Stegostoma tigrinum: one gene and its partners. The protein of the gene in region 4 purifies or fractionates together with the protein of the main gene of each other region. This does not show direct contact. Links are inferred from orthologs where the notes say so. Each region holds a gene or a part of one and is shown on either strand. Other genes may lie near its edges.

Evidence for each region.
Region 1: the proteins of met (region 4) and galectin-2-like purify together in Homo sapiens (affinity purification with mass spectrometry; 3 studies listed by BioGRID and IntAct, with this or other methods). This does not show direct contact. The link is inferred for Stegostoma tigrinum from reciprocal best matches to the Homo sapiens genes MET and LGALS1.
Region 2: the proteins of met (region 4) and gab1 purify together in Homo sapiens (affinity purification with western blotting; 3 studies listed by BioGRID and IntAct, with this or other methods). This does not show direct contact. The link is inferred for Stegostoma tigrinum from reciprocal best matches to the Homo sapiens genes MET and GAB1.
Region 3: the proteins of met (region 4) and plxnb1b purify together in Homo sapiens (co-immunoprecipitation; 3 studies listed by IntAct). This does not show direct contact. The link is inferred for Stegostoma tigrinum from reciprocal best matches to the Homo sapiens genes MET and PLXNB1.

The regions. Positions count from the first base shown.
Region 1 is NC_081391.1:12,805,626-12,813,399, forward strand, and holds the start of galectin-2-like, read right to left. Parts: upstream 3,016-7,774; 5' UTR 2,903-3,015; coding exon 2,897-2,902; intron 1-2,896. UniProt on the Homo sapiens protein: Lectin that binds beta-galactoside and a wide array of complex carbohydrates. Plays a role in regulating apoptosis, cell proliferation and cell differentiation. Inhibits CD45 protein phosphatase activity and therefore the dephosphorylation of Lyn kinase.
Region 2 is NC_081354.1:29,131,321-29,139,200, reverse strand, and holds the start of gab1 (GRB2-associated-binding protein 1), read right to left. Parts: upstream 3,008-7,880; 5' UTR 2,593-3,007; coding exon 2,521-2,592; intron 1,939-2,520; exon of another isoform or gene 1,915-1,938; coding exon of another isoform or gene 1,909-1,914; intron 1-1,908. UniProt on the Homo sapiens protein: Adapter protein that plays a role in intracellular signaling cascades triggered by activated receptor-type kinases. Plays a role in FGFR1 signaling. Probably involved in signaling by the epidermal growth factor receptor (EGFR) and the insulin receptor (INSR).
Region 3 is NC_081364.1:17,663,347-17,671,047, forward strand, and holds the start of plxnb1b (plexin-B1), read right to left. Parts: upstream 3,007-7,701; 5' UTR 2,919-3,006; coding exon 2,896-2,918; intron 1-2,895. UniProt on the Homo sapiens protein: Receptor for SEMA4D. Plays a role in GABAergic synapse development. Mediates SEMA4A- and SEMA4D-dependent inhibitory synapse development. Plays a role in RHOA activation and subsequent changes of the actin cytoskeleton.
Region 4 is NC_081371.1:34,233,392-34,240,460, forward strand, and holds the start of met (hepatocyte growth factor receptor), read left to right. Parts: upstream 1-4,052; 5' UTR 4,053-4,461; intron 4,462-7,069. UniProt on the Homo sapiens protein: Receptor tyrosine kinase that transduces signals from the extracellular matrix into the cytoplasm by binding to hepatocyte growth factor/HGF ligand. Regulates many physiological processes including proliferation, scattering, morphogenesis and survival.

The DNA of each region.
Region 1 (7,774 bases), on a different chromosome or scaffold from region 4:
CGAGTGGTGTCCCGCAGTGTTCAGCGTTGGGGCCACAGCTGTTCACCTTGTATATTAATGATTTGGATGAAGAGACTGGGGGCATTCTGGTGAAGTTTGCCGATGATACGAAGATAGGTGGAACTGAGGAGGTGGGGAAGCTGCAGAAAGATTTAGACAGTTTAGGAGAGTGGTCCAGGAAATGGCTGATGATATTCAATGTGAGTAAATGTGAGGTTTTGCACTTTGGAAGAAAGAATACAGGCATGGACTATTTTCTAAATGGTGAGAAAATTCGCAAAGCAGAAGTAAAAAGGGATCTAGGAGTGTTGGTCCAGGATTCTCTCAAGGTTAACTTGCAGGTAGCGTCCGTGATTAAGAAAGCGAATGTAATGTTGTCACTTATATCAAGAGGGTTGGAATATAAAAGCAGCGATGTGCTTCTGAGACTTTATAAAGCTCTAGTTAGGCCCCATTTAGAATACTGTGTCCAATTTTGGGCCCCACACCTCAGGAAGGACATACTGGCCCTGGAGTGTGTCCAGCGGAGATTCACACGGATGATCCCTGGAGTGGTAGGTTTAATGTATGGTGAACGGCTAAGGATCCTGGGATTGTACTCATTAGAGTTTAGAAGGTTGAGGGGAGATCTAATAGAAACTTACAAGATAATGTATGGCTTAGAAGGGATGGACGCTAGGAAGTTGTTTCTGTTAGGCGGGGAGACTAGGCCCGTGGGCACAGCCTTAAAATTAGAGGGGATAAATTTAGAACTGAAATGAGACAACACTTCTTCAGTCAGAGAGTGGTGGGCTTGTGGAATTCATTGCCGCAGAGTGCAGTGGAGGCCGGGACATTGGATGCCTTCAAGGCAGAGATCGACAAATTCTTGATCTCAGAAGGAATCAAGGGCTACAGAGAGAGTGCAGGGAAGTGGAGTTGAAATGCCTATCAGCCATGATTTAAATGGCGGAGTGGACCTGATGGGCCAAATGGCCTTACTTCCATTCCTATGTCTTATGGTCTTATGGTATGTGCACTGCTCGATGCACTGCAGGCTATTTTACGACCCCAGTGTAGAATCAATTGATAGAAAACGGCCAACAATTATCCTCAAAAGTGTTGGGTGAGAGCAGTGGGAATAAAAACAATGACTTTTCATTATACTATGTTGTTAACATGAGAGGGAATGTACAGCACATCGCAGGAACATTCTGAAACAAACTTTTGGCATTGAGCTGCATAAGGAGATCATTCAAGCTTGGGGGTCAAAGGTAGGTTTTGAGGAATGTCTTAAAGGAAGAAATTGCGATAAAGAGGCAGAGATGTTTAAGGAGATAATTCAAGAACTTAGGGCCCAGCAGCTGAAGGCATGGCTACTAATGATGGAGATTAGACAGTGGAACTAAGAACAGTCAATACCGCAACCCATGAGAGTTGATCCAATAAACACTTGAATAAAGGCAAAATACTGGGGATGCTGGAAATCTGAAACAAACTTCAAAAATTCTGGAGAAACTCAGCAAGTCTGGCAGCATCTGTGGGGGGAGAGAAACAGTTAAAGTTTTGAGTCCAGTATGACTCTTCAGAACTGAAAGGTGTTGAAAAAAATGTTTTTATACTTTTGACAGATTCAGAGGGGGAACAAGAAGGCAGATGGAATCAGGACCCAGTGCAAACAACAAAAGGGTGTTAATAATGGAAAAAAGAAAGATTTAAAATGGGTATAAATTAAGAATTAAAAGGGAGAGAGAAAATTAGTCCTCTGCCCGAGGTGCAAAGTAATTAAGACACCGAAACGACATGGCTCTGGGGAAAGTGTAGAACAAGTTGTTTCTTCCCGGAAAGACAAGTAACAAAATCTTAACAGCAAGAATGAAATCGCTTTATATTGATATCTCTGACTTTTAAGCATCCTGTATTCTGAATTACAGCTGATCTGCACCTCATCTGATCTTGCAGTTCCATGACTCTTGATTTCCTTGACCAACAAGGGCATGGCTATTCTCAGGCTTGAAACTTCAATTATCCCCCTCAACAATCACAGTCTTTTTGAAAGATTCCACACACCTTGATGTGGAAAAGTGCCCAATTTAACTCAGAGGAGGAAAAATTCAAATTTTAAGATTAGTCACCTCACTATTGAATGACCCAGATGGAAGAAATAAATTTTCCATACCAAACTTGTCGAATCATAAAATAGTACAACACAGAGGAGGTCACTTATCCCATCAAGCCTGTGCTAGCAATTTCAAGCAGCGTACAGATGAGTTCTACTTTTCCTCTCTTTCCCCATATCCTTCAAACCTTTTCTGCTTCTCCAGTAACAGTCAATTTTGTTCAATGTGATTTTAAGCACTTGAATACATTTTCCTCTTTTCCTTCTCTGTTCCAAGAAACCAAGCCAGCTTCTTCATTTTGTCCGTGTCATTGTAATCCCTCAATCCAAATAAATCTTTTCCAGAGACAGTGTGTCCTTTGCAAAACTTTCACCTCTTCCGAAAGAGCAGTGCCAAGAATTAGATGCAACTCTTCAAGTAGCTTGAATCCATTTAAATGCCTCAATCTTATTGGCACTCAGACTTCCCATATTGTCACCTAATTTTATCCTCCTTACATTACGTTTGTACTCCTGCAAAAAATTATGGTCTTGCTTGTATGAATTAATGTAGCTGACATTAGTTCTGCATCCCAGGAGAGTCAAATTATAAATGAAACAGCACTTCCAAGTAATGAAATCAGCGAGTTATTAGAATTTATGGCATTTCAAGTGAGACATGACCTTTACTTGAGTACAGTCCCTTTAAACTTTTTCAGAATTTGGCAGTACCTTACTGAAAAGGGCCTTGGTCCCTTTACCTGGTTAAACACAAATACAAAAGGATAAACAACTTTATAGTCCATATACTCTACTCACCGACATCTTCGTGTGTATAAAGAGGAAGTTTGAGTATGCAAGGGAAGTGGTCACAGTCTTGTGAAGAGAGAAATGAGAGCAGAACTGTGCGCATATGTGTGTGTATATATATATATATATATATATATATATATATGAGGTAAAGCATGTTAATCATTGATCAAGTTGCGTATCAGTTTTAAGCCCACTTGTAAATGATTTATAACAGTAATACATTTACAAGAGATAACACAGTGTGGAACTGGAGGAACACAGCAGGCCAGGCAGCATCAAAGGAGCAGGAAAGTTGACGTTTTTGGTTTTAGTGACTGTTAAATAGTGTGTAATGGCAGGCTGTAACAACAAGGCCTGGTGTGTAGGGTAGGGGGCGAGGACATGGGAGAGTGACTGTATGTCACTAACAGTCCCCATTAACAGCTATTCACCCTCTGAGCCAGATCATCATCAACTCCGAGATAGTAGAAACTGCAGATGCTGGAGAATCTGAGATAACAAGGTGTAGAGCTGGATGAACAGAGCAGGCCAAGCAGCATCAGAGGAGCAGGAAGGCTGATGTTTTGGGCCCAAAATGTCAGCCGTCCTGCTCCTCTGATGCTGCTTGGCCTGCTCTGTTCATCCAGCTCTACACCTTGTTGTCTTGTTATCAACTCCATTGACTATCCAATTGCTCTTCTCTCCATCTCTGGACACTATCCTTTATCCTACTGTTCACTCCCTACCCCACCAGCCTTCCTATTTTCTGATTCTCGACTAACATTTTGCCAGCTACCATAGGTTCTGAGGAAGGGTTGCCAGACCCAAAATTTTAGCTTTGATTTTTCCTTCACAGATGCTGCCAGACCTGCTGAGCTTTTCCAGCATCTGCAATTCTTTTGGTTTTTCTGTTATAAAAATCAATTGGTTCACTGATGTCCTCTGGGGGAGGAGATCTGACATCATCCTTGGTCTGGCCCATATGTAACTCTGGACACACAGCAATGTGGTTGACTCAAATAGCTTAGCAAGCTTAGATCGAAGCCCATTAGGGATGGGCAATAAATGATGGCTTTGCCATTTACTGCCCATATCCCTTAAGCAAAACAAAAGTACATCATTGACTATAAGGTGCATTCGGATGTGCTGAAGATAAATGGTGCTATACAAATTCCTGTTCTCCTTTACTGGTGAAGAAAGAATTGAAACACTGACGGGAAAGCTTAAACCTCATTAAAACTTAGTTTATGCTGAACCATGTATAAACAACAATACCAGAATTTAGTCTGTGGGCCCTTTGTTGATTGTCAGTAGGGACTGGCTTAATATTGAACTATTAATTAATAATTTTGTAGTATTCCTCTCTGCGCTATTATCTCCTTAATACCTGTTCAAATGCAGACCTCGAATATCATTGAAACATCAAAAAGAGATTCACAGGAGTGATCCAGGGGCCTGAGTTCCAGAAGTGAGTTCAAATCTCACTGCACTGATGAAATTTAGATTTAATGAAATAAATTCAGAATTGAAGTAAATTTCAAAATTGTGGTAACCATGAATGAAGTAGATTTTTGCAAAAAAAAACTCCCTCCGGTTCACTTTTGATGTCTTTCAAGGGGGGATATCTGTTGACATTAGCTGGCCAGACCTACCTGTAACATCAAGAGCCTCAAGGACATTTAAGTGCCTTCTGCAAAGGCCTGTTTAGTCTCTGTTTCATCAATCTATTACAGGAAGCCTGTTCTGACACCACATCGACTGCATGTGTATTTTGAGGGCAGTTAGGGATTCACAACAAATACCTGGCATGCTGGTGCTGTTCACATCCCTTCAATGAATAACAATGAAACACTAAGACAAGTTAGTCCAAGGGATTGTTTTTAAGGAAGGCAACAAGAGATGTTTTAAGGAGCAAATTCTCGAGGTTAAGCCCTAACAGCTGAAGGTGTGGCCACCAGTGGGAAGACACTAGCTGATTTTTCTTTTCATAAGAACATAAAAACGTAAGAGCACATATAGGCTATTTGGCCCAAATGTCCGCAACACCACACCAGCCCCCACACACAAAAAAAAGAGTAACCCATGAGTGCTGGAAATTTGAAAATGTAGTAAATGTTGGAAACATGCATTTCTGTCAGGTGTCTAATTGTAAAAGATCAGATCTAGTGACAGCCTCCACGAAATGATCAGCACAGTAGCACAGCGGTTAGCACTGCTGCCTCACAGCGCCAAGGGCCTGGGTTTGATTCCAGCCTTGGGCAACTGTCTGTGTGTAGTTTGCACCTTCTCCCCATGTCTGTGTGGGTTTCCTCCAGGTGCTCTGGTTTACTCCCACAGTCCAAAGATGTGCAGGGTAGGTGGACTGGCCATGCTAAGTTGCCCATAGTCTCCAGGGAGGTGTAGATTAGGTGGGTTATAGGGGGATGGGTTGAGGTGGCATGCTCTGAGGTTCGGTGTGGACTTGTTTAGCCAAAGGGCCTGTTTCCACACTGTAGGGATTCTATAACTATATCAAACCTCATGGATGAAGACATGGTTCAACCCTGTGCTTTCCTTTCCAGAGCCACAGAATCAAATTTAGTCTAGATTTCTCAGATGAAGTCTTCCCTTGCCGCTGGCCTCAAAGGTGCTGTGTAAAATTAGTTTGGGCAATCTTAGTTCTGATCATATGGACCTATTAGTGTCAATTCCCCCTTTTAGAAAAGGCTAAAGATGGTCCATGTATGGAATGGATTAGCAGAGCAGGTTTGAAGGGCTGAATGGTTCATTAAGCAAAGAACCAGACCAAGAGTAGGCAATGCAGTCTCTTGAGCCTGCTCCATTTAATACAGTCATGGTTGATCTCATCTCAGTCTCAAATCCACTTTCCAGCCCTCTCTCCAAAACCCATTACTAAATAAAAATCTATCTCCAATCCTATTTTTTTCTATATTTCTCAGCCTCTGGCTTTTGTATACTTGAGCTGGGAGTAACACTCACTACCCAATGTAGAAAAATGTTACTATTATACAGCACAAGGACCCAAACATAAACATTCAGGCAGCAAAGACTTCACCCAACCTCTTTGAGTCTGTTCCAGTCAAAGTGAATGACTTGCATCGTCAATTTGGCTTTTTTGTTCTGTGTAACCTGTGTGCTTATTATGTTTGTCTAATTTAGAGAAATGCAACTTCTGTAAGCTATCCATAAATAAAGCTTCTTGTGAGACGAATCAGTTCCTTGATGACAATTCTTGTTCTACAATGGGTTAACTGAGGGAGAAACAGAATCCTATATGGTCACTTTCTTTACCCCACATCAACCAAAGAATATTAAAGAGGCATCTGGTTTATCAGACATGAACTTCTGGTATATCAGATCACATGGGGTTCTTACTATCGAGGTGTAGTGGATTGTAAATTGTGATTACGTAAGATTGAATGTGTTTCTGACAATTATTAGGGGAATGCTGCAATACATCAGGGTGTGGATGGATAGTTTAGGTGTCCTTATTAAAAGAGGGGTGCAGAAGGAATGCAATGGAGATTCACCAGATTAATTCCTGGGATTGTTTTATCAGAAGAGATTGAGGAGACTGCATCTGTGTTTCTTAGACAATAAGACATGGGAGCAGAAGAGAGAATACAACAAAGGTTAACCAGACTGATTCCTGGGATGGTAAAATTGTCCTGTGAGGAGAAATTGAGGAAACTGGGTCTGTACACTCTAAAGTTTTGAAGTTTGTGAGTTGATCGCATTGAAACGCACCATACACCTACAGGACATGTCAGGATAGATGCAGGAAGCATGTTCGCCCAGCTGGAGTGGAGGACGTATATAGAATTGGGTCACAATCTCACAATGAGAAGAAGACAAATTTCTTCACTCAGGGTTGTGAATCTTTGGAATTCTGCTCTCTAAAAGGTGTTGAGGCTTAGATATTGAGTAATGACAAGACAAAGTTGGATAAATTTTAGATATTAAATTATCAAGGGATATGGAGATAGTGCAGGAAATTTACGTTGGAGTAGATGATCAGACATGAGCTGGTTGAAGTTAAGGCTCAAGGGTCCAACTGGCCTATTCTTGCTCCTATTTCCTATATTTTTATGAGATCTTCTTCATTGACCAGGACAGGCAGATGGGGCCGGGACAGGACATTGACCATTTGGCACACCCTCAGTCTCACACTGGATTGTCAGCTTTCACTTCAATGCTCAAACCTCAAAAGCTGGAACCTTACGATGTATGGCAAGAGTGTTACTTGTTGAGCTACAGATCATTTTTCCATTATACTCTCTTGAGAAAAGTAAAAACGATTAATTAACTAATGAACAGTCCCTTACTTAGAAGGACTTTCTTTAACATTTCTGCGATTATAAGTTTGTAGGCACTTGTTTAAAGTTAGAACAATGAGAAGCATAGTCAGCAGAAATCAAACCTGCACTGGATCACCCCAATGGATTCCAAATCCATTACCTTATACTCTCAGCCCGGTCATGTTGTTGTATTCTTTTGAATAACCAAATAAGAACTGAAACCAGGTAAGACAAAATTATTATGGAACAGTCTCTTAAAGGAACACAGGAACAAAATCAACTCCACAAATTAAACTCGAAATTCAAAACTGATTGTGGGAGGAGGACCCGAATTGCCCATTAGTCAGGAAAGGCCTCAAGTATATTGATAGGTATCACATAACCCCTCTCCAGGGGGAAATCCCTAACTCTTAATAAAAACCAAAAGAACTGCTGATGTTGTAAATCAGGAACAAAAACGAAGTTGCGGGAAAAGCTCAGCAGGTCTGGCAGCATCTGTGGAGGAGAAAACAGAGTTAATGTTTCGGGTCTGGTGACCCTTCTGCAGAACTGTTAATGCCCGGCTCTCTGTTAATTGCAGTTTGAAATTTTTTGTTAAAAAAAGGGA
Region 2 (7,880 bases), on a different chromosome or scaffold from region 4:
TGTCTACCTCTGACCAAGCTATGGGCCAGCTGTTCACTAAGAAATTTTGTCTGATAATATCCTTATAAAAACATTTAAGCTTTTCGCTACATTAAATGCAATCTGTGGCTGTTTGCTGCGAGAAGTCAGTAGCATGCTGGAGGGAGGAAGAAAAAGAATGCAAATAGGTTAGATTGCTTGTATTAAATTTGTAGAATTAAATAAAGGGGTTAGCTTAGGAGTGTTATCAATGTCTCATCATCAAATCAGAGTCGGATCAAGTTTCACTACAAACATATCTGTACACAATCAGTAGTGACATATCAGAATGGGACAAACAGAACATGACAGTGCAACACATTATCTTTTGGGTGAGCCTTTAAACTAAGGTGCCATTCACCTATCAAGGTAAATACAGAAAATCCTACAACACTATTTAAACAGCAAGTGTGTACTCCTGAGAACCTAGCCAACATTTATCCTGGAGTCAATACAAATGTGATTATTTATTTCATTCATGCTTGAATCTTTGTTGTGCACAGGTTGGCTACCATGTTTGCCTATAAAATAGGTGTCTGTGCTTCAAAAACTAATTTATTGGCTGTGAAATGCTTTATTGCAGTCTGAAAATGTGAACGATTCCACTCCTATGTCTTATATAGCATACACTGAAGTTCTTCTTTAGTTGAGGAGCGTGATAAGAACTTCAATTTTTTTTCCTCCTTTCTCTGGCATGATTACAAATAGGAATTGAATAATTTAACTCAAACCTACATAGCAATAAACTTGTACTTGCACTTCCTCCAGGTGCAAAAACATTGCTGCAAACAAACATTGTCACAAACCAACATTGAGATAAATGACAAAGTCCTATTCTTAATTATTATAGATGTAAGATATTACAATGGGGAACACAGAACTGACACTTGATCAGAGTAAAAACTGCGCATATCACACTCACATTCACTCTACATTTTTGTTTAGACAGGCTGACAACAGAAGCTTGCTCTATATGCAATACAGAGTCACTGACTAATGCCATTACTTGCCACATTTTATGTCAGAAATCCTATTGTCTTTGCATATCCTTTTCTGTAGAACTAAATAAGTAACAGAAAGCAATATTCATTTCTGAATACTTCAAATTAACAGTTTCAAAAAAGTTACAAGGATCCATTCAATTACATAGCAAAACATTTACTGCTTTTACCAAACTGAATATTCCCTTCACAGAGTTAGTTTACAAGTAGTAAAGAAAATCTTACAAGTTTACTAAAAACAAAAGCTCAGACTCAGGATGATAAAACTGATTAAACCACGTGAAGGAAGGTTTATGATGGGATATTGGTAAAATCCCTGAGAAAAATTCATATATTGCCACAGAACACGTCTTTAAAAGTATCTCAAACAAAAATGAATTGTTTCAAATGTACTAAGTCACAACTATTTCAGATCACCACGATACTAGTCTTTAAGACTACCTCAAAGTTATTCTTTTACCCAAGTAAAAGTAGGCTCCACAAAATTTTAAAAAGTTCAAAGATCCTTCCATTGACAATTATTTTCTCAAGCTGCAGTAAATAATTAGCCCACTCGTTCTTTTAAATCTACTGGCTGAAGTATGAAAAAGTTTGCACTGTTAAATGTTGTAAATAAATTACATACTACCCAGCAATAAAACCATAGCCACTCATCATGTTAGCTTTTGGTGGCCTAATTCTGAGAAATATGTCCGGTGAAAAGCCCCGCTATTGCCACCTGAACGAATGGAAAACATTTTAACTTGCTTCAAGCCGCCAGACAACATGCTTCAATTCCACGACGTGCAGCACTAAACAAAACCTGGGCCGAGAGACATGGGACATCACAAGATATTTCCACGCATTATTAAACACATAGTTCATCCTTCCACGTCGCTTGGCATTGCACCTGCATTAGAAGACATGAACACCCATTCAACCTCAAGTGTACGCAGAGCAGCAGCCAAGTTAATGGGTGTGTCCCGTATTGGAAACTTGCTTTCTGACAGTGTGCGATTCAGCTACCGGCCCTTCAAAGCTCTCACTGCTCAACACACAGATCACTCTAGTTTTCAGCCATGTGTGACTGCAAACCCATGAAAAGATTATAAACATCAGAACATATTCACAGTAGACAAAGGACTCCATTGCTTTTCGAAAGACAGATCTACAAACGTTGAAAATCTGAAATAAACTATTAGAAAGACCGTATCTATGTTGGCCACAACTCAAGTGGACTTTTCACTAAAAAAAGTCACGCACTAATTCCAAACAGTTCTAATTTGCATATTAACAAAATTAAAAAGTGTATGGGGCAATTGCCAGCAGTTACTTTGTAACTACTGCATTCTTGAGTGCGAGCATTATATTGTGCCGAGAGGAATCAACCACTTTTTTTGAATGATAAATTAAGTTTTGTATAGGTAAACAACGTTTACAACTCGGTTCGCTTACAGCAGTGCCGCCGTATTTGAATTTGCAAAACGAAAACACTTTCTCATGTATTTAAAAAAAAACTTACGTAACGTCTCAACTTTTTCTCCGGTGGAGACTTCCTCAGCCAGCCGTTGTAGACGATATCGCCGCCACTCATCTTTCTTGCTCACGATGGAAGGGCTGTGAAGACAAACCAGGATCGGCTTTCTCAGACCCAACCCAACGAAATATGAATCAACTTTCCCAGCACAGACCAGGTACTCCTTTCTCTCTATCACGATTCCACTGTTTAAACAAACTGAAAAAAAAGGAGCAGCCGTGCTCGGGGTGATTGATGGTGGGACAGATTGGGTTGTTGTGTGTGGACTCTGACTCGTCCGCCTTGTCCAGCGATGTCCGGCTCGGCCACTCTCGCGCCGCGATTCGCGGGAATGATTGACAGCTCGGCTGTCCTGGGGTCCGCAGACTTCAACTAAAACTCACCGACTGCAACCGATCCAACTATTCTGTGACGTTCCCGACGTGAGCTGACGTGATCCAGTGTGAGTTTATATCTGTGTGTGTGTTTGTGTGTGTGTGTGTGTTGGGGGGGTGAGGGCGGAGAAATTTGCAATTGAATTGTGGGATTTGTAGTTTCAAAACCCTCCCAGCTGCTCTTTTTTTCTCTCCCAGCACGTAGCACAATCTTTGTTCCCAGTGATTTCTCTTGATGCTCTCCCCATCCTGCTGGAATGGGAAGGTAGTCCTACAGGATGGAAACCGCCTGCTGTAGTGCACAGGGAAGGTCACGGCCGCGTAACTCCAATGCAAACTGTTGGGAGATTGCAATGTGGCAGACTTGGTGCCTGCATTGGTGACTGGTATGTGTTGAGCAGGGTTAAAAACTGGGGATGTATCAGTGATAATGGGAACTGCAGATGCTGGAGAATCCAAGATAACAAAGTGTGAAGCTGGATGAACACAGCAGGCCAAGCAGCATCTCAGAAGCACAAAAGCTTTTGTGCTCCTGAGATGCTGCTTGGCCTCCTGTGTTCATCCAGCTTCATACTTTGTTATCTTAAATACTGGTGACCCTGATTTATGAAAACTGGCTTTCCCCGTCAACGCCGAGAGACCCCACTCCCTCCCCTCTCCTTCCAGCTACCAGGAGGGTCAGAAAACTACATTTCCCAGCAGTGGTGTGAATCCCTGCGTCTTATTCTGGGAATCATCCCGTTTCACAGCCCCTGTGGTTGGGGGCGGGGAGGTATCGACGACAGCCGGGGAAAACTCACTGGTGGAACCCAGGTGTAATAATTCAGTAAATCTGACCAGAATCTGGCTTCTGATGGTGTCATTGTCGATTAGATTCAGCATAGATTCAGCACTCCTCGTTTGATATCTTAAATTTATAACATCGTTCTTCCGCGTTTTTGTAAAATACGTTTTTAACTTTTTTAACAAAAAATGTTTTGGCAGAAGTACAGGGTTGCAGTGGCAGTCATTTCCATTATGGAGTTGTCATGAGTAAAATCATTATGCCGGCTGGCAGAGGAATCTGTGGAATGCGGGCAGAAAAAAAAGTTCCAGATTCCTGGAGCTCACTTGAAGGTGAAACTTCCTCCGAGTTTGCGTGGAGTGGAAGTTAGAAGAACGCAGAGTAATCACGGTGATGGAAGGCCCTCCTAGCTTATGCGTGCAGCAAACAACCAACATGAGTCCCCCACCCTGTTCACATTGAAAATTGTATAACCACCTCCTGCAACACCCACCCCAAACAAACAAGGGGGACTGGTTTGTCTAGTTCAATAGTTCTTTTCCCAAGCTGATGCCGCACTTCAAGAAAAAAAATTAAACTTTATTCATATATATATTTACGTACAACCGGATGATCTACCAGGATGAAAACAGTTCTGCTGGGGCTTTCAAAGGCGAAATCATTGTGTCTTTGTTAGTCAGAGTGCGCACCTCATGCACTGAAATGAGTAAATAGGAGTGCGTGCTTCCAAACAACATTGCCCTACTGCGCGATCGATTTTTGCAGTTAAATTTTTTCGAACGCGCCCACTTAAAATAATGTTGCAACGAACTGTGATTTGAGATGTTTTCTTCAGCTGGGATGTACTGATGACTTAATCGTGGAACTGGTGGGGAAGGTCTGCTGAGTCAGACAATGCAAAGGAGCTGAATTGACATGTAAGGTAGAATTAAAAGAATGCTGAAGCATCCTTTTGGTTAATGGCGACCTGGACTGATGTGAATCCAACTCCTGGTCACGGCCAAATTCAATAATGTGGTCACTCCTACATCAGGGCATAACATTATTATTCAATCTTCAAATGGAGAAAAAGAAGTTTTTATATCAAAAATTAATATTATTAAATATTTTGGAGAATATTACAAGGTTTTGTATTACTGGTATATAATTTTAAAATTTGTGTAAATTAATATAGTTAATTGTAGCAATGAACATAGATAGAAAGAATATGTTAACTAGTACCATATCAATTATAAACAAATTATTTTTGCATCGTTGTGCAAATAAATAATTGGAATGGACATATAGATTATGGTGTGCATGTTTGGGATTCCTGCTTTTAGCCTGACTCAATATTGTGTTTATCAAGGTGAGGGATATCAAGTCGAGAAAATCTTCAAAAGGTTTAAGCTGAATAAACATGATGTGTCAGTAGGGCTCCTTTGCACTTATGTGCAGAAGGTAGACAGTAAGAGTTAGTGTGTCATTTCCAGGTTGGAAATGCAAAACAAATAGAGTGCCAAAAGAGCCTTAAGTATTTACCAAGATAATAAAATGTGAGGCTGGATGAACAGAGCAGGCCAAGCAGCATCTCAGGAGCACAAAAGCTGACGTTTCGGGCCTAGACCCTTCATCAGAGAGAGGGATGGGGAGAGGGAACTGGAATAAATAGGGAGAGAGGGGGAGGCGGACCGAAGATGGAGAGTAAAGAAGATTGTCTCTCTCCACCTATCTTCTTTACTCTCCATCTTCGGTCCGCCTCCCCCTCTCTCCCTATTTATTCCAGTTCCCTCTCCCCATCCCCCTCTCTGATGAAGGGTCTAGGCCCGAAACGTCAGCTTTTGTGCTCCTGAGATGCTGCTTGGCCTGCTCTGTTCATCCAGCCTCACATTTTATTATCTTGGAATTCTCCAGCATCTGCAGTTCCCATTATCTCTTAAGTATTTACCATCTATATTTATGATTTGGAAGAGGGGACAGAATATAATGCATCTAAAATTGCTGATGATACAGGTGGGAAGACATGTACAGTAAAGACAGGAATCTGCCAGGGATATAGATAGGTTGAGTGAATTGACAAAAAATTGGCTGATGGAGTTTAAAGTGAGGTCATGCACGTTTGTATGAAAAAAGGCAGACTATTAAATGAAGAGAAATACCAGAAAAGCGCAACGGAGATGAACAGGTAATTTACTTCATCTTCACGATAGAGGATATATGTAAACTTCAAAAACAATGATAAATCAGGAGTTGAATAAATGGAGATTTCAGGGAAATCTCAATCACCAGACATGTGGTGCTAAGTAAAAGGTTGGACCTGTGGATTGACAAGTTCTTGGGATCTAATGAACTTTATTTTGAGTCTTGAAAAATGTCATGAGTGAGATAGATCTAATTTTCTGAAAATCCCTTTATTGAGGGATGGTTGTGTTAGTTTGAAAGATAGCGAATGTAGCTCATTTATTGAAAAAGGAAGATGGAAAGAATGAAACTACAGACCAGTTAGGTTAATGTTTGTCATGGGGAAATTGTTGGATTTTTTAAAAAGTATTAGAGCAAGTCACATGAGTAAGTTAAATGTAATCAAGCAAAGTAGCATGGCTTTGTGACAGAAAAATCAGGTTTGACCAATCTATTAAAGTTCTTTGAAGACGTGATATGAGTAACAGAGAACCAGTGGATATACTGTACTTAGGTTTCCAGAAGGCATTTATTAAGATGTCACATTGAAGATTATCTCAGAAAGTAAAAGCTCAGGGTGCAGAGGGTATCATATTGACATGAATAGAATATTGCCTGGCTAACAAGAAGCAGAGATTAGGCACATAAATGAGTCTTTGTCAGGTGAGCAAGATATAATGAGTGGTGTGCTTTAGGGATCACTATGGAGATCTCAACTGTTTTACAGTTCAGATAAATTACATCATTGAAGTGATTGGAGGTCTGGTTGACCGATTTACTGATGACACAAAGATAGGTAGGAAAGTAAGTTGTGAAGTGACAGAAGTTAGGTGTATGGGCAAAGATGCAGCAAATGGAGTGTAAAGTGCAAAAATGTGAAACAGTCCATTTTAGTGGAAAGAATAAGAAAAGTTATCTAAATAGTGAGAAATTGCAGAGTTATGAGATGCAGAGTGATCAAAGTGTACCCAGAGTTGCATGATAAAATGAACGATAAAAGCTTATAATAGAGGTAAACCAAGTTATTGGGAAAACTAATAGAGTTTTATCATTTATCACAAATGGAATTGAATACAAAAGTAGAGAGATAATGCTTCATTTATACAAGACATCTGGAGTACTGTATACAGTATTGATTACCTTATTTAAGGAGGCACACAAGAGCATTAGGATTAGTTCAGAGAAGATTTATTCGACTAATAACTGGAAAGAGTGCAGTGTCTTAAGAGGAAAGATTGGACAGGCTAGGCTTGTATCTACAGAGTTCAAAAGAGTAAAAGGTAACTTGATTGAGACCTAGGGGTTCAAGCACATAGTTCATTGCAAGTTGCATCATAGGTGGACAAGGTGATTAAGAAGATGTTTAGCAAGCTTGTCTTCATTGCTCAGACCATTGAGTATAGGAGTTATATGAGATCATGTTGAGGTTGTACAGATTGATGAGGCCACTGTTACAGTACTATGTACAGTTCTGGGTGCCTTGCCATAGGAAAGATATTATTACATTTGAGAGGATTCAGAAAAGATTTGCAAGGATGTTGCCAAGACTGAAGGGTTTAAGTTATTAGGAGAGGCTGGATAGGCTGGGAATTTTTTCACTAGCGGTAGGAGAGTGAGGAGTGACCATATAGAGGTTTGTAACATCATGAGAGGCATATGAGATAATGTGAATAGGAAAGGTCTTTTCTCTAGGGTGGGGGAATTCAGATCAAGAGGGCATATTTTAAGGTGAGAAGAGAGAGATTTAAAAGAGACCTGAAGGGCAACCTTTTTGCACAGCGGATGGTTTGTATGTGGAATGAACTACCAGAGGAAGTGGTGATGCAGGTGCAATAACAACATTTAAAAGACATTTGGATAGGTACATGAATTGAAGAGATTTATAGGCACATGGGCCAAAAGCATGCAATTGGGAGTAATTTACCGTGGGAAACTTGGTTGGCATGGACAAGATAGACCAAAGGATCTGTTTCCATGCTGTATGCTTCTATGACTCTGTGCAAGACCCTGAGGAAGCTTGACAGTGA
Region 3 (7,701 bases), on a different chromosome or scaffold from region 4:
GGAAAAGGTGGCAGCCAAATGGAATGTCACAAGCAAATAAAAACCGAAAGAACTGTGGATGCTGTAAATCAGGAACAAAAACAAAAGTTGCTCAAAAAGCTCAGCAGGTCTGGCAGCATCTGTGGAGGAGAAACCAGAGTTAACGTTTCGGGTCCGGTGAGCCTTCCGCAGAACTGATGGTGGCTGGGAAAGCATCAGTTTATATGCAGAAAGTAAGGAGATGGGTGGGGTAGGGAGTAAATGATAGGATAGAGCCCAAAGAGAGAGAAAGGCAGTCGCACAGTCAAAGGAGTTGCTAACGATCAGGCTGGGAGGGTGAATAGTTGTTAATGGGGACTGTCAGTGGCCAACAATAGGGAGTGTGTAATGGCAGGCTATGTGGCAACAAGGCCTGGTGTGTGGGGTTGGGGGCTGGGACATGGGGGAGTTTAGACCTTAAAATTATCGAACTCAATATTGAGTCCGGAGGGCTGTAGGGTCCTCAGGTGGAAAATGAGGTGCTGTTCCTCCAGCTTGCGTTGGGCTTCACTGGAACATTGCAACAAGCCAGAGACAAAGAAATTGGCCAAGGAGCAGGATGGTACATTGAAGTGACAGGCAACAAATAGTTCAAGATCTTTTCTGCGAGCAGAACGTAGATGTTCTATGAAGTGGTCACCAAGTCTACACTTCGTTTCCCCAACGTACAGGAGACCACATTGCGAGCAGCAAATGCAGTGGACTGGATTCTGGCAAGTGCAGGTGGTGTTGCTTCCCCTAGATGATGTTTCAGCCTTTCGATGCTGGGGAGGGAGGAGGTAAGTGGGCAGGTGCTGCACCTTCGCCGGTTACAGGGAAAGGTGCCGTGGGGCTGTCAGGAGGCGTTGGGGGTGAAGGATGTGTGGATCAGGGTGTCCTGGAGGGAACGGTCCCTGCAGGAGGAGGACAAAGGAGGGGAAGGGAATGTCTTTGTCTGGTGATGGCATCTCACTGGAGGTGGTGGAAAACGGTGTCTGTTGATCTTCTGAATGTGGATGCTGGTGGGAGAGTAGGTGAGGATAAGGGGAACCCGGTCACTGTTGCCGGAGGGAAGAGAAGAGGTGAGGGCGGAAGTGCGGGAGATAGGTCAGACCTGGTTGAGGGCCCTGTCGACAATGGAATATCACAACCGTCAAGAGCATCAGAAAGGTTTCACGAACACCAAGCGATCACAGCCAGGTAATCTGTGTTAGCTGTTGGCTAAGGAAAACAAAATGGCCAAGATTACATAACTTTTCCACATTAGACTGCCATTGGATCCTTTACGTTATTCTGCACCTAAAGTCAAATCAAGAGATGGCCACAGGTGAGCAAAAGCAGACTCAAACTTTCTTACTTTTCAGAAATTGACTCCTCTGTGGGATGTGGGTACTGCCGTAGTGAGGTCAGCACTTATTCATACCTAATTAGGGAGGGAGCGATGAGCTGCCTCCTTGAACTACTGCAGTCCATGTGATGTGAGGACATCCACAGTGCTGTGTGAACAACAAAAATGGCTACAGCTGTTGGACAAGGTCATCTGAGTGAACCTGTTTGATGCCTACTATAATGGTGATAGCTACTCTGTGTTGTATGAGAAAAAACAGGGAACATCACAGTGGTTACATGAAAAGGTCTGGTAATCCAAAAGGTCTGGATGAATAACTCAGAGAATGAAAGCTTAAATTAGGGCCACTTGAGAATGTTTTGAGGCCATCTTGAAACTAGAAAGTTCATAATGGCCGTGAAACTGTCCCTTTCGTGAAAGGAGCCTGTCATCTTCCTGTCTGAATTGTACCTAACACCAGTCCAAAGTCAACGTCATTGCTGTATTCAAGAAATTTATACAGCACATTTTACACACTATCTTCCACTTAGAATTTATGGAATTCAAAATTCAACTTGTTTTCGCACACAATGTTGCACCCTTGGGTTCATCAATGATGATATCTTAATGTTTAGACCACACATTTTGTGTAAAGCACACAGAGCAAGGACAAAACATTTCATGTTGAAAATGTCAGAAAGTGCAAGAGAAATAAACTTTTCTCGATACCCCTCTCCGAGGTGCCTCATTACAATGTCCAGCGTCTATATTCCTTTTGAGGAACACAGCCAAGGTGTCCCTTAGTGTACCACTGCTGTTAGCCCAGAAACAGCATCTGTGCCCTAGTGTGCACCTCTGTGGAGCTGCTTCTAGCTTCAGTACATCCCTTAACATGTAATCCGGGACGTTTCCACATGCCAGTTTGCAACACTCAGTTGATGACAACATTTCGCATCGAAGACCCACTGTCTTCTGGAATGGCCTAGAAAACAACCCAGCTAAGGTTAAATATCAGGATCAGCTATTAAAACTGATCTTACTAGCGTCATTCATATCCAAAAGAGTAAACATATTAAAAAAGTCAACAAGCACATCTCTAACAGTTAGACACTGGGTCCGTGAGGCTACTACTACATTTTGCATTTTAATTCCTTTGTTCTGTAGTGGGACGAGGCAGAACAGATCTGCTTCTCTGAAGCTAATCTCTCACCCAGAGACAATTCAGATAAGATGGGGACAGAAGCATTGGTGACTTTTAAAAGCTGTCTAGCTCAAAGCTGAACCTGCAGTAAGCTTCGATGGTGCTCAAAGGACAGCAGTTTTATAATTGTTATTTAGTTTCCACCACAGGTAACTGCATGGCTAAGATTCTGTGACAATACTGTATTGCAGGGCCAACCCTCTTCAAAAGAAGAGTGCCAGAATTAAAAACTTGCAAGGCATTTTACACAGAAGAACCTGATATTTTGTACAAACACAGCAACATGCAGGTGGCATATGGCAGCAACAAGGATGCCACACAATATACTCAGTCAGAGAATTGCTGATCACTGATGAACACATATGCTCACCTCCATCTCCACAGCTCCAGCATCACGGTGTCTAAGTCAGGAAGCCAGCAAGTTGCTAAGTTACGGATGATCAGCAAGGTCAAAGGCCGACAGCTGTGAATGACTCACTCATTCACAATGTGACCAACCTGATCCTACACAACAAGGAATGCAGAGCTTAATTAGCTTCCTAAACCACAAAAGCAAGTAAGTCTCAGAAAGAAAATCTTCAGCAGAGAAAAAAAGAGCTGAAAGACCTGTAAACTGGGTCACCTTCAAAGCATGAGTCTGAAGTCATAAGAATAAGGCAAGAGGCATGCAAGCCAAAACAGAACCTGCAATAAAAGAATAGACAAGTTCAAAATTGCCTCTCTCATATTATGCAATTGATCCCCCAAGGAAACCCTTGTGGATTTTTTTAAACATGCATTTATCTTGCTGCTTTAAAAAGATGCAAGTGTGTTTTTTTGTGAGAATCAATAAGAAACTGACGGCCCTTCAGATTCACAAAACCACTATCTGCACTAATACATTCAGGTGGAACGCACATTCTCCAGATGCCATTAGGGCAGTTCACAAAAAGCTATGCTCCTGTTACAGTAGCTGCTCGGGGCACGCGTTCTCCAGACACAAGCCACTTACAACCCAAATGTGCACTTACTGCAACTTGTTGTGTACTTTGCAGCCAACAGAAGGGGTTTCAGCAAAAAAAACCAAGTCAGTAAGCGTTTATTCTAGAGATAATAGGAACTGCAGATGCCAGAGAATCCTCAAACTTTGCCTTGCCTTGCAAATGCACATGCCCCGTGGTAGAATAGCTCAAAGCATCCACCTAAGTAGGCAGGTCACAGAAATCTCAACAGCTTGTCTGTCAGGACTACCTTCAACATACAGTCTTGTCCTAAAGCAACGTTATCAAACAAAACCTGATAGTGAGCCACACAGAAAGATATTGGGTCAGATGTGCAATATCCTGCAGTAAGGTCAGCTTTTAATGAACATTACAAGGGAGGAAAGAGGTGGGGAGGGAGGACAGGGGATTTCCAGAGTTTACAGCAGAGTTCAGCCAATAGCATATATTCAGCAGGAGATGGATATAGGAAGGATCCTACTAAATTGGAGAAAATATTTAGAAGGATATTATTGGGAATGGAGGGTTTGAGTTGTAAGGGGAGGTTGGATAGCCGGGACATTTTTTGGGGTGATCTCATATAGGGGTTTATAACATCATGAGGGGCATAGGTGAGCTGAATAGCAAGCGTCTTTCCCCTAAGGCAGGAGAGTTCAAAACGAGCAGGCATATTTTTAAGGTGAGAGGATTTAGAAAGGACCTGAGGGGCAACTTTTTGACATCGAAGGTGGTTTTATGTGGAATGAACTGCTGGAGGAAGTGGTAGATGCAGGTACAGTTACAACATCTAAAAGACAGGTACATGAATAGATTGGGAGAGATATGGGCCAAATGCAAATAAAAGGGAATAGTTTAGTTTGGGAAACTTGGTCAGCATGGACTGGTTGGACCAAAGGGTCTGTTTTCGTGCTGCATGACTGACTCTATAACGGCAGGAGTGAAAGCTTCTTAGAGCTTTGCAGGGCCGGAGAAGATTACAGAGATGGTGACACAGAGACAGGTATGAGAGAATTCAGTCAGGGTCTGTCTTGTAACACAGAATCTGGAGCTGGTTCCTTCGAAGTAGAAGTTCACATGAGCTATGCAGGCTGAGCTTGGAACTCGAAGACTCAGTGAGGATTCCAAGTGTTGCAGCAGTCATCTCTCCCCACTGGACCTTCCTTTCAGATCTATCTCACGTCGACACTCGATGGGAATCTCAATGTGCTTACTAACTAGTGACCTGAAAATCCGACTTGAGGAGCAAAAAAAAAATGGAACGACTGCTATCTCTGAGCGACTGCAACCCTCCCCAAAGTTCAGACATCTCGTGGAAGGCAGGGCACTTTGAATGACAAGATCGATGGAAGCACTCATTGAGGTTCAAGCAAACACTATATCCATTTCTCCACAGGGATTAGTGATGGAGACTCAATTGCTTACAATCAATGTGAAAAACTTGGATAAAGGGACCAAATGTGAAATTACAAAATTGCGGGAGACACAGAGATGGATGCAAGAAAAGTCATGCAGAGGGCACAAGGAGTTTGCAAACAGGGATATCGTTAAGTAAGGGGCAAAGTTTGGAAACTGCAATGTAACGTGAGAAGATGTGAACTTGTCCACTGCAGCAATAAATATCTAAAAGCAGCATATTATTTGAATGCAGACACAGAAGAGCTCTGAGGGACAGAGTAATCAGTGTTCCGATACATGAATTACAAAATGTTAGGATGCAAGTACAAATGATTAGAAAAACAAATGTAATGTTGTTTCTTGCAAGGCAAATAGAATATAACAGTAGGGAAGGTTTGTCACAGCTGCACAGAGCATTGGTCACAGCTACAGTGTAACAAGAGCTTGATAACTTAGAGCTCATTGGACTGGAAGCTTGTCACTGAATGGGTACAGTACACGTCACAGTTAGTCTGCAATTGATTAAAGTGTCTAAGAATGCAGTGTGCTCAATTGAGATACGTTGTATTTTATTGCATTTTCCGTAATGACTAGTTTGAAATGTTCTGGAATGTACCTTTTACCACTCTAGTAACAATATATATTTTTGCAAAAGTGTTTTTTAAAAATTGGTTAGAGGATATCTGCGATACTGTGCATGGTTTTTAAGGAAGTGCGGAAAAGACTGGAAGTCTGAGGTACATCTTGACAGGACAGTTTGGACTGTATCCATCGAGGTTTGAAAGGTGATCTTATTTTGATAAAAAATACTACGAGACTTGACAGGATGGGTGTTGAAAGGATGCTTTCCTTGTGGGAGAGACTCGAGCTTGAGGTCATTTTAAAAATGTGGTGTCCCATTTAAAGGTAGTGATGTGGTGAATTTATTTCCCTCAAGAGGCCGATAGTCTACAGAATTGTCTTGCCGAGACGGGAGGACGGGATCATTGGATTTTTTTTTAAAAAGGTGGATTTTAAAGTCTTGACTGACAAAGGAGCCAAAGACTATGAGCAGCATGCTGGAAAGTAGAAGTCACAATCGAGATTAATATCTTTGAACAGGTTGGTAAGAAAGCATCTTCAATCCAACAAACCAGGATCTTATCGATTTACAGAGCAGGCTCAAGGGACCAAATGGCTGAGATAACACGGTGTGAAGCTGGATGAACATAGCAGGCCAAGCAGCAGAGGAGCGGGAAAGCTGATGTTTCGGGCCGAGACCCTTCTTCAGAAATCACATGCCTGATTCCATTTGCTCCCGATTCACATATCCCCCTCCGTCTCCGTTTCCCTGCCTCTCCGCTTCTCTATCCTTTTAAAAGATGATTGTTAAAACTTGTCCTAGACCTAGCTGTGGATTTCAGATATCCCAGCCCCTCACTCTGTGGTTCTGCGTCGTTTTGTTTGACTGTTTCTGTGAAATGCCTTGGAATGTTTTGTCACACTAAAGGCGCAGTGCGTACCTGTTGCGGAATACCCGCCCCTGCCTGTATGCTACAACATTTCACATTTCAGTCCCTTCCTGAGCTAATCTCCAAGCCAACCTGAAGATATGGTGACGACTCCAAACAAAAAGGTGCAAGTTTCATATGGTTAGCAGCTTGTTGGATGAATGAGTTGGAAGAAGCAATATTGGTGGCAGACTAGCCCCAGGGAATTCTGCTTAACCACTTACTTATTGAAGCTTTACTACAATGTAAATATGCTAATAACAAAAAAAAAATCACATTTCAGTGTTTGATCCATTTATTTGTCCCGACTTGCATGAATCTAACGTAACCTAATAAACCTCCTTTGTTCATATCTTACTCCACCCATCAGCAACTATAAAAAGAGCTGTCTCAGTAACAGAAGCTAACTTTTCTCCAGAACCATTTGCCTTGAGGTTGTTAGTTTGAGCCCTTCAAACAAAGGGATAACACAGACTTGACTAGTGGCAGCATGCAGGTGTCATCTAACATCGTATATTTGCGCAGCACCTGCATTGTGGTAATTCAAGGAAACCACACGGTTAGCCATTTGTTGGCAAACACTATTTTTCTCTGGAAGATATTTCATTGATGAATAGGCTCCTTGATGATACATGAAAGCCACACTCCTGTTTTTTTCGCCCCCATCCTCAAGTTCAAACCATTTTCAGTCCAATTAAAAGGTTTCAGTAACCCAGTAGCCAGGCAAACAGAGACAGCAGCAACCACTCAAGTGGTTACCAAGGTGATCAGTACAATCCAAGAGAGAAAGCAGCAGTACAGATTAAACAGCATCTTTATTATACACATCTGAGAATCTCAAAGGACCCATCCTAAGCAAACATGTCAGCAACAGAGCATCAAAAGCTAGAAACAGCCCTCCCTCAGTCCTTGTGTCAGAATGACTACTTTCCCAAACCAGCTGCAGCCTAGAAAAGCAGAGGCAATGGCCTAGTGATTTATCACTGGACAGTTAATCCAGACACCTTGTAATGTTCTAAGGACAGAGGTTCAAATCGTGCCAAAGCAGATGGTGGAATTTGAATCTAATTTCAAAAGAAAAAAAAATCTGGGATTGAGAATCTAATGACCACAACACCATTGCTGATTGTAAGGAAAAAGCCACCTGGTGCACAAAATGTCCTTCAGGGAAGGAATCCTTCCCCGATCTGGCCTACATGTGACTCGAGACCCACAGCAACGTGGTTAGTTCTCAACTGGCCTCTGGGCAGTAAGGGATGCACAACAGATGCCTGCAATGCCCTCAACCCCTGAATGAATAAAAAAAATTCT
Region 4 (7,069 bases):
AGGCATGAGGCCTCTTGCTAAGAAATATTGGAAAGTTGGCAGGTGTATTTGGATTCCTGCATGGACACTAACAATTTGATTCCAGAATAAGATTTGGGCAAGTGGGGGGACTAGGTCATTGTTGCTGCTGAAACAATTCCCATTCATCCCTACTCCAAATTTTACACCATGAAATCTGGATCTTTCAACTCGTCTTTAACTGCTGGATAGGAATCCAGACAGGAAATAAATGTTGGCTAGCCAGCAACACCCACATCCTATGAGATCTAGGAGGACTGCAGTGAGTGACTGCATAAAGTTAACTGTCTCTTAACTCAGTTTCTCCCTTTGCAGGTTGGGTTAGTATCACTCCTGGAGACTTTGAATGCCACAAATCAGACATTCAACATTTTGGTCAACAGGTGAAGAAGATGGATTGAGCTGTACAGAGGACACCTGTAGGGGCAGCTGAAACCAAGTGATTTCCAGCAAGGGCTGCATGTCACATCACTGAAGAAATGGGAAAATCCTAGGTCAACTGAAGGTTGAGTTTTATTTGTTTGGCTCTAGGAAGCAATCTACCCATTTTAGCCACACTAAGTAGTCTTTTATATTTAAATTGCTCCGCATTTACTAATCAACAAGAATGCATTAGATATAACACAGTGTGGAGCTAGAGAAGCACAACAGGCCAGGCAGCATCAGAGGAGGAGTGCTGCCTGTCCTGCTGTGCTCCTCCAGCTCCACACTGTGTTTTCTCTGACTCCAGCATCAGCATTTCTTACTACTTCTAAGAATGCATTGGTTTCCTTGTATTCAATGTAAATAAGAGAAAAAGTACATTAAACTGCGCATTTCATGACACTTAATGTCCCCGGAATATACCTAGTTGGTAAGATATATTCAACATTCATATGGGGAGAAAAATCTCAATATAGCAGAGAAGAATGGATAGCTGGTAGTGTGTTGCCTGAACAATAACCTACCCCTTGCATTGTAAAATCCATCTCATTTGAGCAGGTAAAATTTGGCAATGCGAGGATGCTGCTTATAAATACTGAAGATGAGTACTGTGGTTTGGGGAAAAGAAGATTAGAAATGTTTGCAAAACAATTCAACCCAATTTTTACATGGCTTGAACATGTTCAGAGACTGATACCACAATTGGGACTACAGAGGTAATTCAGCTATAGTTCCTCCTATTCCTTTTGTATGAATCATAGAATCCTTACAGCGTGGAAGCAGGCTATTCAGCCCATCGAGTCCACACCGACTCTCCAAAGAGCATCCCACTCAGACACTTACATTGCTCATGATTTTACTTGGTGGTTTTCATGTGGAAATATTTTAATAGGCAATACTATTTTGAGGTGCCAACTCCCAGTGAGGTAGCTCATAAATTAGGTAAGAATGAGGTATGTTCTAATAACCAGTGGATAATTAGTACACACCATAAATTGCAATGGGATTTCATATGTATTGCAGCCACTAATGGATTATGCCAGTGACTGATCACAATATTGTGTACAAATATAGCAACAATGGCAATTTCACCATTTATTTTATGCTGGAATAGAGGAATATGGGTAGGTTAAATGGCCAAATATCATAATCAATCCAATTACTGTACACATTACAGAGCACACTGGGATGTTCAGGGTAGCCATTAGCTGATAAATGCTAACTAACTGCAACTATTTTGCTTGAAACATGACTTTTGTTTTGATAGGGCTAGCTATTAGCATACACCACAATGCCTTGAATGATTGTGTGGCTTATTTGGAGTATCTGAACTACTAATATGAATATATTGCTGTTCTTATTATGCTGTTTGTCAGTCTGGATAGTCAAATTCCATTTGAGATATTTGTTCCTAATGCAATGTCATCAAAATTTTCCATAAGTTAATGATTATTTATTTGCATGAATTCAGCAGCCTGAAATGATGAAGTGACTCACAGTAAAATGTCTGGATCACAATGATAGTTTTACATCAAAATTAATTACCAAAATACAACATGACAAATAAGCATAGTAATTCCACTCATTTGAACTGGTACTGCGGATATAGGATGTGCAAACCTGCTCCCTGCTTTGTTTATCCTCTGCATATAATTGCATGCCTAACTTACCACTGAAGTTGTTTGATCAGGCATATGTGCAAAAACCTCATTAAAATATTGAAATAGCACAGAGATGATGCTATTCGGTAGCAGCTCTCAATTTCTTACACTTATGGAAAGATCCCATACAGGTCTGTGCCCTTTTAAATTAATTTGAGAACCAGCCATATTATTATTATTGTCTTGTCAAGAAGGAGTTCCTTAAGATATTTTTCTGAAGAGCAGTAATTTATTGGTGAGAAATGGGAATTGATATTGTGGTCTTATCAGAGAATTTTACAAGTACAAAGAAAATCAAAAGCCATGTCAGAAGGCAAGAGCAGCATAACCAGTTAGTCTGTGCGTACTATTTTGCCACCAACAAACCTTGCAAACTCAAACACACCAACCTGAAAGTGGTGAGGGGGAATTCCTGTTCCAGGTTGCTGTGCAACAGGGAAACTCCTATGACATTACACAAAAGGAGGTATATTGGGCTTTGCAGATGGTTATGAAAATCAGTTCTGCCTCAATTGTTTTGCCATCATCTCATCCCTAAATGTCATTTGCTGCATCAGGCAGCTTGCCATTCTGCAAGAGTGCTAACCCAGTAACTGCTTCTTAGGAGCACAACAGCTGACGTTTCAGGATAACAAAGTGTGAAGCTGGATGAACACAGCAGGCCAAGCAACATCTCAGGAGCACAAAAGCTGATGTTTCAGGTCTAGCCCTTCATCAGCGAGCTCTCTGATGAAGGGTCTAGGCCCGAAACGTCAGCTTTTGTGCTCCTGAGATGCTGCTTGGCCTGCTGTGTTCATCCAGCTTCACACTTTATTATCTCGGATTCTCCAGCATCTGCAGTTCCCATTATCAGCTGACGTTTCAGGCCTAGACCATTCATCTAGGCCCGAAACGTCAGCTTTTGTGCTCCTAAGATGCTGCTTGGCCTGCTGTGTTCATCCAGCTCCACACTTTGTGATCTCGGATTCTCCAGCATCTGCAGTCCCTATTATCTCTAACCCAGTAACTGCAACCAGTTGCATGGTCAGCACTTCCATCTATTATCACACAGAGTAACAATTGTAGAATGGTACATCTGCTAAATCCCACCCAACTACATGGTTTCACCATGTGCAGGTGATCTCTTTAGAAGATTCTTATACTCGCTCAATGTTAACTCCCTGAAAATGGCTTTCTGTTTTCTCCAGGTCATCTGAAGTATATTGAATGTTCGTAAACTGCTAGATTAATACATTATGCAGCACAGTTCTGGACCTAGGCATTGCTAACAGAGGTTCTATCATGTCTGCAATAGTAATGGAGAACATGTGCTATGATGTTCTTTCCAAGAGGTATCAAGCTGAATGTAGCCTCATTAAGGTCAGGCTATATACCACAGACCTGATGATCAGATTGTATTCTGGGAATCTGATTTAGGAGTCAGGTTAGAATCATAGAAGCCCGACAGCACACATGGAGGCCATTCGGCCCACTGAATCTGCACCCTCCCTCCAGCAGCTTCCCACCCAAACCTACCCACCCGTGTAACCTCAAATTTACCTTGGACAATCCACCTAAACTGCACATGATGAACATGCTACAGTCAACCATGGCTGGAATGAAACCGACACTGACAGGCACTGAGACGGCAGTGCTAACCACCGAGCCATCATGTAAGCCATTGAATCTAATTGTGAAACATTAGGCTGGATACATCATATCTAATCGTATACAGGAAGATATTGTGAGGTAATCCTGTACATGGTGGTTCTGATCCGATGAAATCTGGCGGCAGACCTCTGATCTGGTGATACAGTTTGGTTCACCCGACATACGGATGCTCAGCACAATAAGAGTCGGTGTGTGATCTGTGAGAAGTGTGTGTGTGATCTGGGGAGGACGTGGTGCAGAGCCGTACACCTTGTTATAAGTCAAACTCGTGGGGGCGGAGTTGAAACCGCCCAGAGTTTATCAGCGGCTGCGTCAGGAGTTAGAAACAGGTTACTCACCCTGAAACTGTCCGTCTGACATTCCCACTTTGCTTTCACAAAGGACCTTTCGATTTTGTTTTGTCATCCGCGCTAGCGAGCGGATAGGGGGCCTGGGTCACCTGTGCAGCAAGGGCCGGCTCCGAGCTGCTCGCCAGGACTGGAGCGCTGAGAATTCATCAAAATCAGAGCGAGTGGTCACCTCGGACCAGAGCAGAGCGGGCAGGCTGCAGCATTTAACGCTTTTTGAAAGAGCAGGATTTATTGAGTGAAATGTGTTGAAGAGGAGGGGAATGTGACGCCTGCAGTGGAATGATTTCGTGAAGCACTTGCCTGGGCTCTGAGAAGGACAGTTGCAAGTTGATCCTGAATTTACTTTGGTGCACAGTCAGGTATGTCCGGCTTTTATTCAATATCCATTTTGCGCCTTCTTGCTTAGTATCGATCAATTTGTAATTTATAACTGAATACTTGCCAGCGTGTGTTTGTTTGATTTTTAGATACACGGATACAAGTGAGATTCCCTTCTTTTGTTCTTTTCTTACTCTCTAAATTTTAAATGTCCTGCAGATATTATCTTATTTTGCATCAACTGTTCCAACTGAAGAATCGGTTGCGGTGGAATGAGATCATGTGCACACCATGATCCAGAATGATTCATCTTCCTGTGTGTATTATGTGGGGAATAAGGAAAGTGTTAAAAAAAAACTTTTATACCGTGGAGATTTGAGGCAGGTCAAAAGGATCCCCAGATTAACTTTATTTCCCTATTTATACAGGATAATCCCCCAGAAGAAAAATCATTGTACTTGATGTGTTTGGGATTAATGGTTTTAATTAATCTTTAAATACTATGTTAGTTCCGAGAAGTATTAGCAGCCGTGCGTGGGGGCGTGGTGGGGGGGTAACTGACATTCCCAGCGCATCTCACACGGAGCACTCAAACAATTATCAGGATCACAGTAATGCGGAGCACTCGGGGATTAATTTATCGGTTTCACTGCGCGCAAAAGCATTTAAGCAGTAAAGCATACCTTTATGTGTAGGGCTGATCTGATCGAATTACAGCATTAGCCTCGAAACCTTGGCTCTTGACAACTGTGCTGGCATTTCTGAACTGAGGTGAGCGAAGTGAGTCACTGAACCAACGAAATGGGCATTCCAGGTCAAGTAAAGCAAACCTCTCTTGAACAAAAACAAAGTTGCTGGAAAAGGCTCAGCAAGTCTGGCAGCATCTGTGGAGGAGAACACAGAGTGAGCGTTTCGGGTCCGGTGACCCTCAGAACGGAAGCAAACCTCTCTACTTGTGTGAATTTTGCAGTGGTTTAGATGAACATTCTTTTAGGCAGTGGTTTTAAACCACTGATTAACCAAAAACAAATCAGTATTCAATGGGAAGGTAACAACAGATTCTCTGTAATCTGTCTGACTCAATGGTGTGATGCATTTAAGAGTAGTGTGGTCCTTTTGCTCACTGGCAGCACAGATCTGGTTGTTCATTATTGTTAGCAAGACTACTTAGTAGTGATAACCATATGCATGACGAGATTCAGCAAAGACCTGGAGATTAGCCAGCCAAACACACCAGAATGTGCTGATTTGATGCCTTGACTTTTCTGAAGTAGTTGTTCTCACCCAGATGGTATTTAGCCATCGATACAAGCTAACAAAATGTGAGGCTGGATGAACACAGCAGGCCAAGCAGCATCTCAGGAGCACAAAAGCTGACGTTTCGGGCCTAGACCCTTCATCAGAGAGGGGGATGGGGAGAGGGAACTGGAATAAATAGGGAGAGAGGGGGAGGCGGACCAAAGATGGAGAGTAAAGAAGATAGGTGGAGAGAGTATAGGTGGGGAGGTAGGGAGGGGATAGGTCAGTCCAGGGAAGACGGACAGGTCAAGGAGGTGGGATGAGGTTAGTAGGTAGATGGGGGTGCAGCTTGGGCTGGGAGGAAGGGATGGGTGAGAGGAAGAACCGGTTAGGGAGACAGAGACAGGTTGGACTGGTTTTGGGATGCAGTGGGTGGGGGCGAAGAGCTGGGCTGGTTATGTGGTGCAGTGGGGGGAGGGGACGAACTAGGCTGGTTTAGGGATGCAGTAGGGGAAGGGGAGATTTTGAAACTGGTGAAGTCCACATTGATACCATTAGGCTGCAGGGTTCCCAGGCGGAATATGAGTTGCTGTTCCTGCAGCCTTCGGGTGGCATCATTGTGGCAGTGCAGGAGGCCCATGATGGACATGTCATCCAGCCCAGTTTGTCCCCTCCCCCCACTGCACCACACAACCAGCCCAGCTCTTCCCCCCCCCACCCACTGCATCCCAAAACCAGTCCAACCTGTCTCTGCCTCCCTAACCGGTTCTTCCTCTCACCCATCCCTTCCTCCCAGCCCAAGCCGCACCCCCATCTACCTACTAACCTCATCCCACCTCCTTGACCTGTCTGTCTTCCCTGGACTGACCTATCCCCTCCCTACCTCCCCACCTATACTCTCTCCACCTATCTTCTTTACTCTCCATCTTCGGTCCGCCTCCCCCTCTCTCCCTATTTATTCAAGTTCCCTCTCCCCATCCCCCTCTCTGATGAAGGGTCTAGGCCCGAAACGTCAGCTTTTGTGCTCCTGAGATGCTGCTTGGCCTGCTGTGTTCATCCAGCCTCACATTTTGTTATCTTGGAATTCTCCAGCATCTGCAGTTCCCATTATCATCAATACAAGCTGTTGGCTTGATGGGCGTCAGATGACAACAGGTTATAGTCCAGCAGATTTATTTGAAATCACAAGCTTTCGAGCATTGTAAGGGGCAGCGCTCTGAAAGCTTGCAATTTCAAATAAACCTGTTGGATTATAATCTGGTGTATCTGACTTCTGACCTTGTCCACTCCAATGCAACACCAGCACCTCCATATCATGGCTTGATAGTAACATTTCTGCCAGAGATAGAGGCTACAAGATTCAGTTGTTGCTACTAACAGGTTCAACAAATAGAGAATAGACCTCTAGCT